3 linked regions of the Ovis aries genome follow. The protein of the gene in region 1 interacts with the protein of each later gene in a biochemical or structural test. Links are inferred from orthologs where the notes say so. Each region holds a gene or a part of one and is shown in the gene's direction. Other genes may lie near its edges. The genes, in order: RAF1, BAD and BAG1.

The links.
Region 2: of the proteins of RAF1 (region 1) and BAD, one has a biochemical effect on the other in vitro, tested with the Homo sapiens proteins (2 studies listed by BioGRID). The link is inferred for Ovis aries from reciprocal best matches to the Homo sapiens genes RAF1 and BAD.
Region 3: the proteins of RAF1 (region 1) and BAG1 form a complex in vitro, tested with the Homo sapiens proteins (2 studies listed by BioGRID). The link is inferred for Ovis aries from reciprocal best matches to the Homo sapiens genes RAF1 and BAG1.

Annotation. Positions count from the first base shown.
Region 1 is NC_056072.1:56,409,736-56,413,866, forward strand, and holds the start of RAF1 (RAF proto-oncogene serine/threonine-protein kinase), read left to right. Parts: upstream 1-1,298; 5' UTR 1,299-1,601; intron 1,602-1,767; exon of another isoform or gene 1,768-2,020; intron 2,021-4,131. UniProt on the Homo sapiens protein: Serine/threonine-protein kinase that acts as a regulatory link between the membrane-associated Ras GTPases and the MAPK/ERK cascade, and this critical regulatory link functions as a switch determining cell fate decisions including proliferation, differentiation, apoptosis, survival and oncogenic transformation.
Region 2 is NC_056074.1:39,034,093-39,038,297, reverse strand, and holds the start of BAD (bcl2-associated agonist of cell death), read left to right. Parts: upstream 1-1,394; 5' UTR 1,395-1,822; exon of another isoform or gene 1,823-2,460; 5' UTR 2,461-2,468; coding exon 2,469-2,655; exon of another isoform or gene 2,656-4,205. Other genes in the region: integral membrane protein GPR137, read right to left, coding at 33-389. UniProt on the Homo sapiens protein: Promotes cell death. Successfully competes for the binding to Bcl-X(L), Bcl-2 and Bcl-W, thereby affecting the level of heterodimerization of these proteins with BAX. Can reverse the death repressor activity of Bcl-X(L), but not that of Bcl-2.
Region 3 is NC_056055.1:37,888,782-37,892,321, forward strand, and holds part of BAG1 (BAG family molecular chaperone regulator 1), read left to right. Parts: intron 1-1,053; coding exon 1,054-1,136; intron 1,137-2,654; coding exon 2,655-2,768; intron 2,769-3,540. UniProt on the Homo sapiens protein: Co-chaperone for HSP70 and HSC70 chaperone proteins. Acts as a nucleotide-exchange factor (NEF) promoting the release of ADP from the HSP70 and HSC70 proteins thereby triggering client/substrate protein release.

The DNA of each region.
Region 1 (4,131 bases):
CACATGAGCTTAGCTGCTCCTCGGCATGTGGGATCTTCCCGGATCAGGAATGGAACCCCTGTCTCTTGTATTGGCAGGTGGATTCTTTTCCACTGAGCCACCGAGGAAGCCGAGTCCTACACATAGTGTTGCTTCATCTTCATTTCCCTTTATACTGTACATAGGACTGACTATATTTTCTTTGGCTTTCTCTTTACAAGACAGAGCTTTTGATTATTGCTGACTTCCCAATACGGAGAATAACATCAGGCTTTCAATAAAAATTTAAATTAAAAAATGTACATGGTGTTGGGTAGCATTGTGTGCCCCTGTGAGAATGAACAGTCATTCTGTACATGTTCTACTTTTTAAAATGTAATGTCTTCGATGAAAAAAAAAAATCAGTATATAGAACTAGCTGATTCTTTTTAACAAATGGATATCATGGACTGTGGAGATAGCACCCTTTATTTGAGCAGTTTCCTTTTTAACTAAGTAACATTTTTTTCCAGTGTCATCTCTAAGGCAAACAGCATGGCAATGAACATTTTAGCGAGTGCCTTTTTGTGCTCTAGAATTAGTGTCCAGAGCGGACCTGCTGGGGCGATGGGTATATGCATTAAAATATCCATTTGTTGTTGCTGTTTAGTAGCTACACTGTGTCTCTTTTGCAACTCTATGGACTGTAGCCGCCAGGCTCCTCTGTCCATGGGGTTTCCCAAGCAAGAATACTGGAGTGGGTAGCCGTTCCCTTCTTCAGCGGTCTTTCAGACTCAGGGATCCAACCTGGGTCTCCTGCAGGCAGACTCTTTCCCGTCTGAGCCAGCAAGGAACTGAGACTCAGAAGTTTACTGACTTTCCCACATGATGGGTAAACGACAGAGTCGCGATGTGTCTCCTGATGCGTCGGACTCCAGGGAGAACACGCCAAAGCTGGACACTGTTCTCTACACTGAGTCCTCGGGCTCATTTGGTTATCTCTGGACCTTGAGATATCACCAGGCTGGCCTTCTTCTCCCTTTTAAGTCTCAGACTCCTTCGGGGCAGCTAAACTCTGACCCTCCTCGACCGCCACTCCGTTGGCCGATCAGCACCCGCCCTAGAGCCTTTACGGCTCGGAAATGGCGATCAGCGCGATCTCTAGGCCACGCCCACTGGGAGGTGGGACCAGAGTTCAGGCCAGAGCGATGGATGCCCGAGCCAAGTTTGAAGTCGGCTCCTAGGCGGGCTCGCGCAGAAGCAGAGCTGGTGGCGGCGCAGGTCGGGAGGAGGAGCACCGAATGTAGGGCTCGCCTGCCGGGGCCGCCCGAGAGTCTCTCAAGTGCGGGCGCTGGGGCCGCCATCTTAGATGGCGGGATTAAGGCGAGAACGAGAGTGAGACGGGAAGGCTTTCCTGCCGCTCTTGGGCCCCGGAGAGGGACAGGTGGCCGGGCTTTGGGGTGTGTGCCCTGAGGCCGCGGAGCGCGAGTGGGACAATGCGAGAGCTGCCCGGGGCCCCGTCCCCTGGGCTGGGGACGCGCCGAATGTGATCGCCTCCCGCTCCCTCACCCGCCGCGGGGAGGAGGAGCGGACCAGACGCCGCCGCCGGACGACTGGACGCGGAGGCGGCCGGGCTCCCTCAGGTAGGCTGCAGGGCCGGGCCGTGGGAGCGGGGCGGCGGGGCTGAGTGGGCCGGGTTCCCGGGCGGCCCGGCTAGGGCGTCGCTGACGGAACGGCCCCGCGGCGGTCGGGCGGAGGGCCGGGCCAGGCCGCTGTCACCCCGGGTGGCGCTGGGCGGGCGGGGGCCCCGGGGCTCGGTGTCATGGCCGGCGAGCCGAGTCCCCACATTCCCCACTCAGGATTTCCTTGTGTTTCGGGGAGACGTGCGGGCGCCACCCGAGTTCCCGCTGCACAGTCCTTGTGTTTCGGCCACGGGAAAATCCGCCCAGAGACGCCTCGAATCCGTGTTGTCACTGAGGTGGACCACCGTCGTTTCTTTCTGGCCGCAGAGTGGGGGGACCCGGGCTTGCATCTTCTCTCAAGTGACACCCTTTTCGGGAAGGTGAGAGCGGTCGGGGACAAGAGGAGGAAGTAGGTCGGTGTCCCACCACAAAGGACGGGATCGGGGCCTCCCCTTGGGGCTCAGGACTCTGCGCGTTACTGATGATACCGTTGGGATGCTTATACTGACGGTCGGCCCCAGGATGCTTGGGAATAAAGATCCAGGGCTCCTTTGTGTGAAGTGAGAGCCGCCTGGACGCTTCGGCTGTGCAGCTGCAGAGGCTCTGCAGAGCTAGTCGATGCCCCGAGAGAGGCGTTTGGACGTGAGGAGAGGCGAGGCGGCTGTGTTCATTCATTGTTCTCTCTCAGGGGGCCAGGGTGTGCCCCTTTCTCTGGTGGGAGGAAGGTTAGGGTCTGCTGTGCCTCCTCTAGGTGTGACGGGGTTCTGAAAAGTCGTAAGGAGGGAATGGATTCAGCCCGCGTTCATTATTTCTGCCTGCTTCGTCCGCTCGGGTCTGAGTGGAGGTAGGCGGCCCCTCTGTTCGCTCCCAAATGTGAAAACAAGACGCTGTGATTAGGATGGGTTTACCCAGGGTCGTGCTAGTTTGGTACGACTCATTTTGCTTGGGGGAGTTGAGGGAGCATGTAGACTGGAGGGGGATTTTCGTGCTGAGCAAATGCTCTTCAGGTGGGGAGGGCGGAGCAGGCTAAGCTGAGGAAACAGCTGGTACAGAGGCCCCGAGATGTGCAGGAGTTGGAATGAATTTGGGGAGCAGCAAGCCGTCTGGGGTGCAGGAAGGAAGTGGTGAGAGATGAGGGTCTGAAACAAAGGTTGCCTAGCTTGCGAAGGATCTTTCTTTGTTGAAGATCGTGAGCTAGTTGGTTTAATTGGAGTTATTTTAGACGAATGTTGCTAATTTTCTTGCTGATAATCGATTTTCCCCCTTCTCTTGATGATGTTAAAGCTGTTAGTAATTGCACAGATTTACTTTGTTAAGCTCCGTCAAGAACATTTTGATAAATGCTTTACGTCAAATATTTTGCTCTTGCACTGTGGTGAATGAACAGAATTCATATTTCTCGGGATTCTTGCAAAAGGTTCTTCTGAAGTTGTGCTTGGTCACAAAAGTGTTGTCTTTATAAATGTAAGGCAGTCTACTATAACCGCATTTTAAATGGTTGTTGACAACATAAATTGTGCTCCCCAGTTGCTTAGAAATTGGCAGATTATATGAAACAATCTGAAAAATTGTAGAATGCAACTATTTCTAGTTTAGTAGATGTTTTATATAGTAAACTGTTCGGATTGATTCTGTGGATTCCAGTTCTGTTTTAAAGTCTTTAGCTCTATGAACATAATTTTCCCCAAAGAGCTGTATTGTTGTGCTTAATGTTTGTGCTAAAGTGACTATTATGATATTAACAGACTTCATCTAGAAGTTCCTGAATCTTTTTTGGGTTGTGATGATTATATACCACTCCAGAACATTAAGATTAAAATTCTTTTGGTTTGTTTTCACCCTTATCACTTTAAGGGCTTGCTGTTTAAAATGCAACAGAAACATTTGACCCAGTTGAACACAGGATACTTGGGAAAATTAACCTGTTACTCTTTCTGTGTAAAAGCTTATTATCTTTTAGATATGCAGTGTTTGTGATTATAAGTTGTAGTGAAATTGCTTAGTTTTCTAAAATTCTTATTTAACAACAATTAAAAGATGTGTATGCCTTCAAAGGAGAAGGCTTGAGTGAAGTACAGGAGAACATATTTTATAGGTTTTGGTTTTGCAGGAGAAAACAGTGAGAAGCAGATTAAGCTGGTCACTTACGATGAAAAGTATCTAAAAGATCAAATGGAGAATGGTTAAACATTAAGTATTATATTTTAACTGCTCTGAGACTAGTTGGTTTTAGTTTAAAACAGGCCACTTGTGAAATCCAAAGTAGAAGTTTGCTCTGAGGATTAAACAGCAACTTCTTGGAAGTTAAATCTGACTTCTCCAGAAGCACTAGGTTACTTATTAAATGGAAAATATAATTAATAACTTCAAATTACTATTTCAAGTAACCTGTTTGTAGTAGGTGCATGATTCTATCACATTTTAATTCCAGATAAAGCTTTGTTAATAACCTGTTGCCTAAAAATAGAAAAATGTTACATGGGGAGTGCTT
Region 2 (4,205 bases), on another chromosome or scaffold:
ATGGGCCCACCCTCACCCATCACCATGGTTACCTGAGCAAAGTAGAGGTTCATGAGCGTCAGTGTGAAGAACTGCAGGCAGACAGGACAGCAGTAGAGAAGCCAGAAGGGCAGGGGCCCCAGGTGGTTGGCTCGGGGTGTGTCTCGAAAGTAGAAGGAGAAGAGGGTGGTACGCAGGGCAGCCCAGAGCAGACAGAGCGCCAGGAACACCGTCTGATAGCTGAGACGCTTGTGCCCATACAGGAGCACCAGCCAGAGCTGGGCATAGACGGAGAAGAAGAGCAGGGCATACAGGGTGGTGTAGGCTGCAGTCAGCCCCAGGGTCACGGCGGGCGGCAGCGCAGGTACCAGCCCAGCAGCAGGCACCAAGCCAGACAGGTTACTCTCCATGTCAGGGAGGGAGGCCTGAACCTGAAGACAGAGATGGAGGGGCCGGCAGGGGGCCAAGGAAATAAATACGGAGGGGTGGGAGTTGTAGGGTGCTCAGGCGGAAAGAAGTGGTGGTTGGCCGGGCCCTCCCGCCCTCGACAGAGGGCCCCTTGCCTTTGCGGGGCACAGGCAACCTGGGTCCCTCACTACGGGGTGTGGAAAAGACAGCTCTTCCTCTTCAGGGCACAGGCGGGTGGGGAAGTGGGGGGATGGGGGTGAAGAAGCCGAAGGAGTGGGGGTCCCTGGCCTCGGTCGCTGAAGTCGTCCCGGCAGGAGGGGGAGAGCCGGCCAACGCCAGTCTGTTCAGAGCAGCGGCCGCTGCTGGGGACGCTCAACGTCTGGCTCTCCCCCTCCCCAAACTGGAGGGCTCTCTCCCCTCCAACAATCCGGATGGGGAGGGCCTCTGCCTTCCGTCCTTGGATTCCGGACGCTGGCCCACCCCACCCCCCACTGCGTCCACTCTCCAACTGCGGGGGGGCGGGAGGAGGCCGACGCCCGGTCCTCAGGCCGCGGCTAGGGGAGCCGGCTCCGGTCGCTGGGACCCGGGGCTCCGGCTCCCCGGCTCCCGCTGCTCCGCCCCCTCCTGCGCCTGCGCGGCCGCCGTTCGCTACGCAAATTGCTCAGGGTCCAGTCCTGACTACGCAGGCCCGCGCCGCGCCCGGCGCGGAGCTGTTCGAGAATTGGCGCAACTTGCGCCACCGCCGGGTGCCAAGGGTTATAAGAGGCGGCGAGCGGCCTTGACTTTCCGGCTGCGCAGCATCCGGCCGGCGCCCTGGTGGGCATTGCCCAGAGCTACAGGCCCTCGCTTCCATGGGAAGCTGGCGATTCCCAGGCTTCTCTTCCCCATCCCCAAATCGAGATTGTGCCGCCCGACCTGGGGCGGTAACGACTTCCCTTCACTCGGTCTCTGAGGGAAACTTCCGCCCTCAGCCAAGATGGCCTCCGGGCCCCGCCCCCCGGGCCTTTACCCGCGGGGGCCCCCAGCGTCCCGCGCAAGCCCGCCCGCCCATTCTTTGGCTGGCTGCGTTTCCCGCTCACCTGGCCTGCCGCCTGCCAGGCGCGAGGTCTCCGCAAGTCCTATTGTCACCCTCCTAGGGGCCCCTTTCCCTTCTGCGCCGGGACAGTCATCCTGCCCCGGGTGGAGGCTCCCTCGCTTATCTCTAGTGCCCCCGAGTTGGTGCGGGGAGTGGCGCCCCTGACGCGGGCGGTGCGAGGTTTCCACCGCGAGGAGGAGGGAGGGGCGCTTCCCGAGCCGGTCACCCGGTTCGGATGGAGCAGTGACAACAGCAACAACAGTTGCCTCCGACGGCTGAACTTCGATTACGGCTTTGCAAAGTGCTTTCACCCACAGTAATCACCGCCCAGTTTACAAGGATCACTGACTCCTGAAAGAGGTGTCATTATCCCCATTTTACAGGAGTGGGAATTAAGTCCCAGAGGGGCTGAAGGATTTGTCAGCAGGAGCTGCCTTCCAAATGGGGACCCCGGAGAATCCCTCAGCGGCTCCCACAACGCCCAAGGCATAAGGAAGTCAGGAGCTGAGCATCCGGAGACGTAGAAGAGAATCAGAAGGAAGGCAGTGGGCGGGGCCCCGGGGAGTGGCCCCGCCTGCTGGCCAGCTAGTGACATCTCAAGAGCTGATTGGGCCGGGCCGGTGACAGTTTCCGTTACCCAGGCAACTAGGGCCGGGCTCTCTTTTTGCTAGAGGGACGCGGCGGGCCCGGGTCGGGGGCCTGGTTATCGGGCTTGGGGTGAGATCTGTGTGCCGTTACCGCGGGCGGGTCTGGCTGAAGCCTGGGCAGGGGCCTGAGGCTTCTCTCCAGCCCTAGAGCTCTGAGAGTTTTAGATCCTGGGTGGATAAGTCGAGCTTCTTGCCGGGCCAGACTCAACGGATAGATGTGCGCCAGGGAGGCAGGGTGGACCTGGGGTGCTGAGGTGGGAGAGGGAGCCAGGGACACCTGCGCCCCCAACCCTGCCAGCCACCCTTAGCTCCTGCTGTTCTCTAATTACTTGTCATCTTGCCCCCCTGCAGCCCAGAGCATGTTCCAGATCCCAGAGTTTGAGCAGAGTGAGCAGGAAGACTCCAGCCCTGCAGATAGGGGCCTGGGCCCCAGCCCCACAGGGGACAGGCCCCCAGGTCTCAGCAAGCACTGGCTAACAGCCCCGGGCCTCCTGGGGGAAGCTGGTCACCAGCAGGGGCAGCCGGCCGGCAGCAGCCACCATGGAGGTAGGCAACCCCCACCCCCCACCCAACAACCACCTGCCTGTCCAGCTTGCCTCCAGCCCAGTAGTTCTCTGCACCCCAGCCACATCCACATTCTGGGGGGCTTTGAGTAAGTCCCTCACCGCTCTGCACCTCAGTTTCCTCTTCTGTAAAACAGCAATTCATCACCACCCTGGTAGTGCTGTGGGAAAGATTAACAAGCATACCTTAGAAGCACTTAATTATAGAGCTGGTGTTTAGTAAATGCTCCAAGTATGTAGCTCTTAGCTTAGGACCAGGAGAGAATCACTGAGAGGCCAGAAAGGGGAAATGACTTGCCTAAGGTCACACTCACTTGGCATTTCCTTTGGGCTAGAAGATTCTGTGGTGCCTTACCTCAGGCTAGTGCTTTCCTTAAGATCTGGATCCAGTTCCCAGCTCTGTTCTTTCCCGCCCTGTGGCTCACACCCACACAGGGCTGTCCTTAACATTGCCAGGGCCAGGTAATCCCAAGAGGCAGATGGCCCTACCAGGCAGCAGGTCTGTGTGGGACTGGGAAAGCATCAGCTGTCCTCTGTATCTACTGAGGGAGACCCAGCGGAGATGGAAGGATGGGCCCTGGAGGGCAGCGGCCACGTCTTAGTAGTCCCTACCACCTGGGTGCCCAGTACAAGCCTTGGCACCTGGAACAACCACAGACATCTTCTGAAAACAAAACTCATGTCCCTTAACTGCTGCCAGTGTGACACCCTTCCATTTTCAGGAGCAGGAAGGCTTATTAATGCCCCCACCCCAGGGAGTTCCCTGGTGGTCCAGTGGTTAACGCTCAGTGCTTTCACTACCAAGGACCCCGGGGTTCAATGCCTGGTCAGGGAATTAGGATTACAGTTAAGAAAGAAAGAAAAAAGGTTGATATTCAGTTATTAGGGATACAATCTCTAAAAAAAAACAAAATTAAAAGAAAAAAGACCCCACCCCCACCACCCAGCCTGCTGTATGTCACACTGAACTCCACAGGCTTTAACTTCGAGATTTTTGCACTTGGAGTTCTTCTGCTTGAAACTTGCTTTCCACCCTGTATCTGGCTGTCCCCATCTTCTGTGTCAAGTGCTGAATGTGTGTACCAGCTGCCAGGGGTTCATCAGGGACTAGAAGAGAAGCTCTTGCCCTTGTGGTTGCCTACATTCTGGAAGATAGGGGGAGACAAGTCATAAACAAAGAAACAAACAAACTAGTCAGTGATACGGTACCTTAGCAGGTGATGCCTTAGGTGACATACCCTTGACTTTCTCTTTGGAATCCAGAGTGCTTGGGGGCTCGAGGGAGTGATTTGAACTGAGGTGGTCAGGGTGGGCCTTGGTGGTGGTGGTTTAGTTGCTAAGGCATGTCTGACTCTTGCGACACCATGGACTGTAGCCCTCCAGGCTCCTCTGTCCATGGATTTCCCAGGCAAGAATACTGGAGTGGATTGCCATTTCCTTCTCCAGGGGATCTTTCTGACCCAGGGATCGAACTCACGTCTCCTGCACTGCAGGTGATTCTTTACCAGCTGAGCTACTAGGGCCTTGGTAAGA
Region 3 (3,540 bases), on another chromosome or scaffold:
TTTTGATGAGGCACATGGGCAGTCTTCCCTGGCTAAGTTAGATCCTCTTCCCAGTGTGTGTTCTTGTGGCACTCCCTCCAGTTCTGCACAGCTTGTATTGAAACTACTATTAAATAATTGTTTGCATAGTCACCAAACATCCGGTTTCTCTGGTACAATACATGAGGGCAGAGATACTTCTTTGTTTTCAGTGCTTGGCCTAGTTCTGACACAGAGAAGGTACTGAACAGACTAGTTTAAAGGACCTGGATGTAGCAGGCCCAGTGGAATATGGTGATTTCTGCCAGGACACACCTACTCCCATCCCCATTCTCTGGTCTTCTCATTCCCATGAGAACCCATTATTTTGTATCTGATGAAGCTAAATTCATCCCATTTGGTGCCAATCATAAAGAATTTAGTGATGGGAAGCATTTACTTTTATACTTCATATTGTAACTCCTTTTCTTTTCTTTTTAAAAGCATTTCATTTTACAATTATAAAGGCAATAGAAATTCATGTTTCTAAATAGAGGAAAACAAAAAAGAAAATGTTCTCTTGGATAAAACCCCTCATAACAATTCAGTATATTTCTGTCCAGCCTTTGTTTGTTTGTCCTGGCATCCTGAAATGTGGGTTCTCATTTGTGGCTTTTTTTTTGTTTGTTTCTGTAGTGGATAAAACTGGATCATTTCTTGTGATCTTCTTATAACACTCGGTCATCAGCACGTATTGTGGCATTGGAGTTGCCTGAAAAATGAGCTTTAGTGCCTACAAAGTCTTCCATTGTTATGATGTATAGTAATCAGTCCCCTATTCCTGAGTTTTTGACTTTCCAGTTTCTCACTGTTATGAATAATAATAATTGTGTAATAGTTATTGTTCAGGCACATGTCCAGTTATTTGTTAGGATCAATATCTGAAGTGAAGTTATTGGGTCAAGAAACCTTCTAAAAATGTTACACCAACTCATCCTCTTCTCAATAGTGAACATACTATTTCCTATACCCTTGCTGAAGTCTATTTTCACTGTTGTACAAGTTACATTTGACATAACTGTCTTCTTTTTTCAGGAAAATCTCTGAAGGAAATGGAGATGCCATTGTCAGCACTTGGAATACAAAATGGTTGCCGGGTTATGTTAATTGGGAAAAAGGTAGATTGTGTTTTCTACCAGAAATACCTCAGAGCCAAATGACTGAGGTGTTATACATGAGTGTCTGTTTAGAAGGCCAAACTGGGGGCTCAAATTTGGCACTGGTGAAGTAGTGCTTGCCACGCAAATGTAGTTACTGTTTGTTTAGTGGAGTTACCAGTTTTATTGTTCTCATTTCCTTCAGCTTCTGTTCTTTAGGGTTTTCACCCTGGGAATTAGGAGTGGTTGTATTGCCTCAATTATGTGGGTTTTGTGCTGGTGGTGGAATTTCAGTCTGGATAAAATGGTGTCTGAAGCAGTCGCTGCTCACTTGGAGAGGAATTTGCAAGAGACTGTCAAACCTGTAAATTTTAAAAATAAGTACTTTGCAAATTTCAGGAGCCTCTCTTCCTTTAACCATTCTTTTTGCTAAAATCTCCCGTGAGGTTAAATCCTCTTTGGCTGGAAAGAAAGGTTCAGACTAGAAGTGAGGGAGAAAAAGAGTCAGTTGATGACAAAAAGGGTTGAGGACAGTAGACCCTGGGGCCAGCAATACATTGTGACACAGTGGAGTTGTTGGTCAAATGAAGTTCTCTTACTTCAAGCTGGGTGTGGCTGATTCAAGAGTGGAGAGAGGGCAGAGGTTAGTAATGTGGAGGCAAGGAAAGTAGTGCAGACTTGGAACTGCCAGGAGACTGGCACTTAGGATTTGGTCACCAAGGGGAGACAGTGGGAACAATGGGAGACAGTGTAAAAGCAGAAAGCTGCTAGCTACCAATGAAGTTGAAAGAAAGGGAAATAGTCTAGATTTCTTGCTCAAGGGTCAGGAAGAACGGTGATGGAAAAAGGAGCACAACCCAAGGGTTGAGTTTGAAGAAACTTTAGGACCCTCAGCTGGAGTTGTCCTGGGGTGTGAGAAGCCAAATCCCATTCAGGTCTCAGCTTTACCTCTTTGGGCTGTGTGACCTTAGGTTACTTTACAGTTACCTCAGTTTCATCATTGGATTGTGGTAAGGCTTAAATAATAATGCAGGTAGAGTGCTTAGGATGATGCCCGGCATAAAGGGGATGCTCAATGAAAGTATGCATCGTCATCATGGTCATACTGAATGAGAGAGCTCAGGAATTCCATTTAAGGAAAGGATAAAATTCCGCCTGTCTCACCTTTCTGGACTCCTCACATGCTAGGCGTTCACTATAACTAGTTAACACTCTGGGCTTCAGTCTGGAGGCAGTTGGTGATCAGCCCCAGCCTAAGGTCAGATATGGCTCATGGATCAGCTTTGTTCTCTGAACCCAAGCCGTCAGGCTGTCTCACCAGAACATGTACCTGGTACCTTCTATCTCATCTAGTGTCTTTGCAGATAGAAAACGTTAGTGTATAATCCTCCAGCTTGCTTTCCAAGAAGCAGCAAGTTTAAGATGATGTTTTCCTAGGGGAGTGGTTTGGCTACTTATGGTCAGATTTTTTTTTTTTTTTCCTGACAGAAGCTACTATTTTTGGTGATTATTCACTTATTTTTATTCTTAACATTTTAGAACAGTCCAGAGGAAGAAGCTGAACTAAAGAAGCTGAAAGATTTGGAGAAATCTGTGGAGAAGATAGCTAACCAGCTGGAAGAACTGAATAAAGACCTTGCTGGAATCCAGCAGGTAACTCTCCTGGTAGACTTGACTTTCTGCCTTCTGTAAGAATTCTCTAGAGACACAAATGTGTGGTTTTGAGGGCAAACTTTGTCTTCAGCCCCCGCTGGGTTCAGACCCTGACTTCCCATTCTGTAACTGGGCAAGTTTGCCTTTGTCTCAAATTCTTCTGTAAAAAAGGGAGTGATGATGGTAACTCCCTCTTGGGCTGCTGTGAGGATTCAGTTACATAGTTTAAGGCTGACACATTCTAAGTGCTTTGTAAGCACATCATTGTTATTTACAGACCCCAGCCAGCATCCATTTGTGTTCCTGTGAGAACACCTGCCATGCTAGGATAATGTGTTGTCTTAAATAGAATAAATAGCTGCTCTCAGTCTAGTCAGTTATAATGTATTTGGCAAGGCAAAGAACACTGATTGATAGAATGTCCAAGTTGAGCATGATATTGGCAAGGGGTCAACCTATTCAATTCCTTATAGTACTGAAACCAAATTAGAATCACTTATGGCCTCAAACCATGTATTTATTTTTGATCTCTTCATTTTATAACATTAATGGATATATGATTGTGTTTTAATTACTAAAGTACTGCATACTGATTGTACACAATTTTTAAGAAGATGTGTGGGCACCAATATGAAAAATAATAATTACCTTTAAGACCTCCAACTCAAAGATGACCATTACTAAAACCTGGAATCTGTTTTTTTTAATCTTAAAAAAATTGGTATAATGTTAGGTATACTTTGTAAATAGTTCTTTCTTTGGTTTAAGGAAT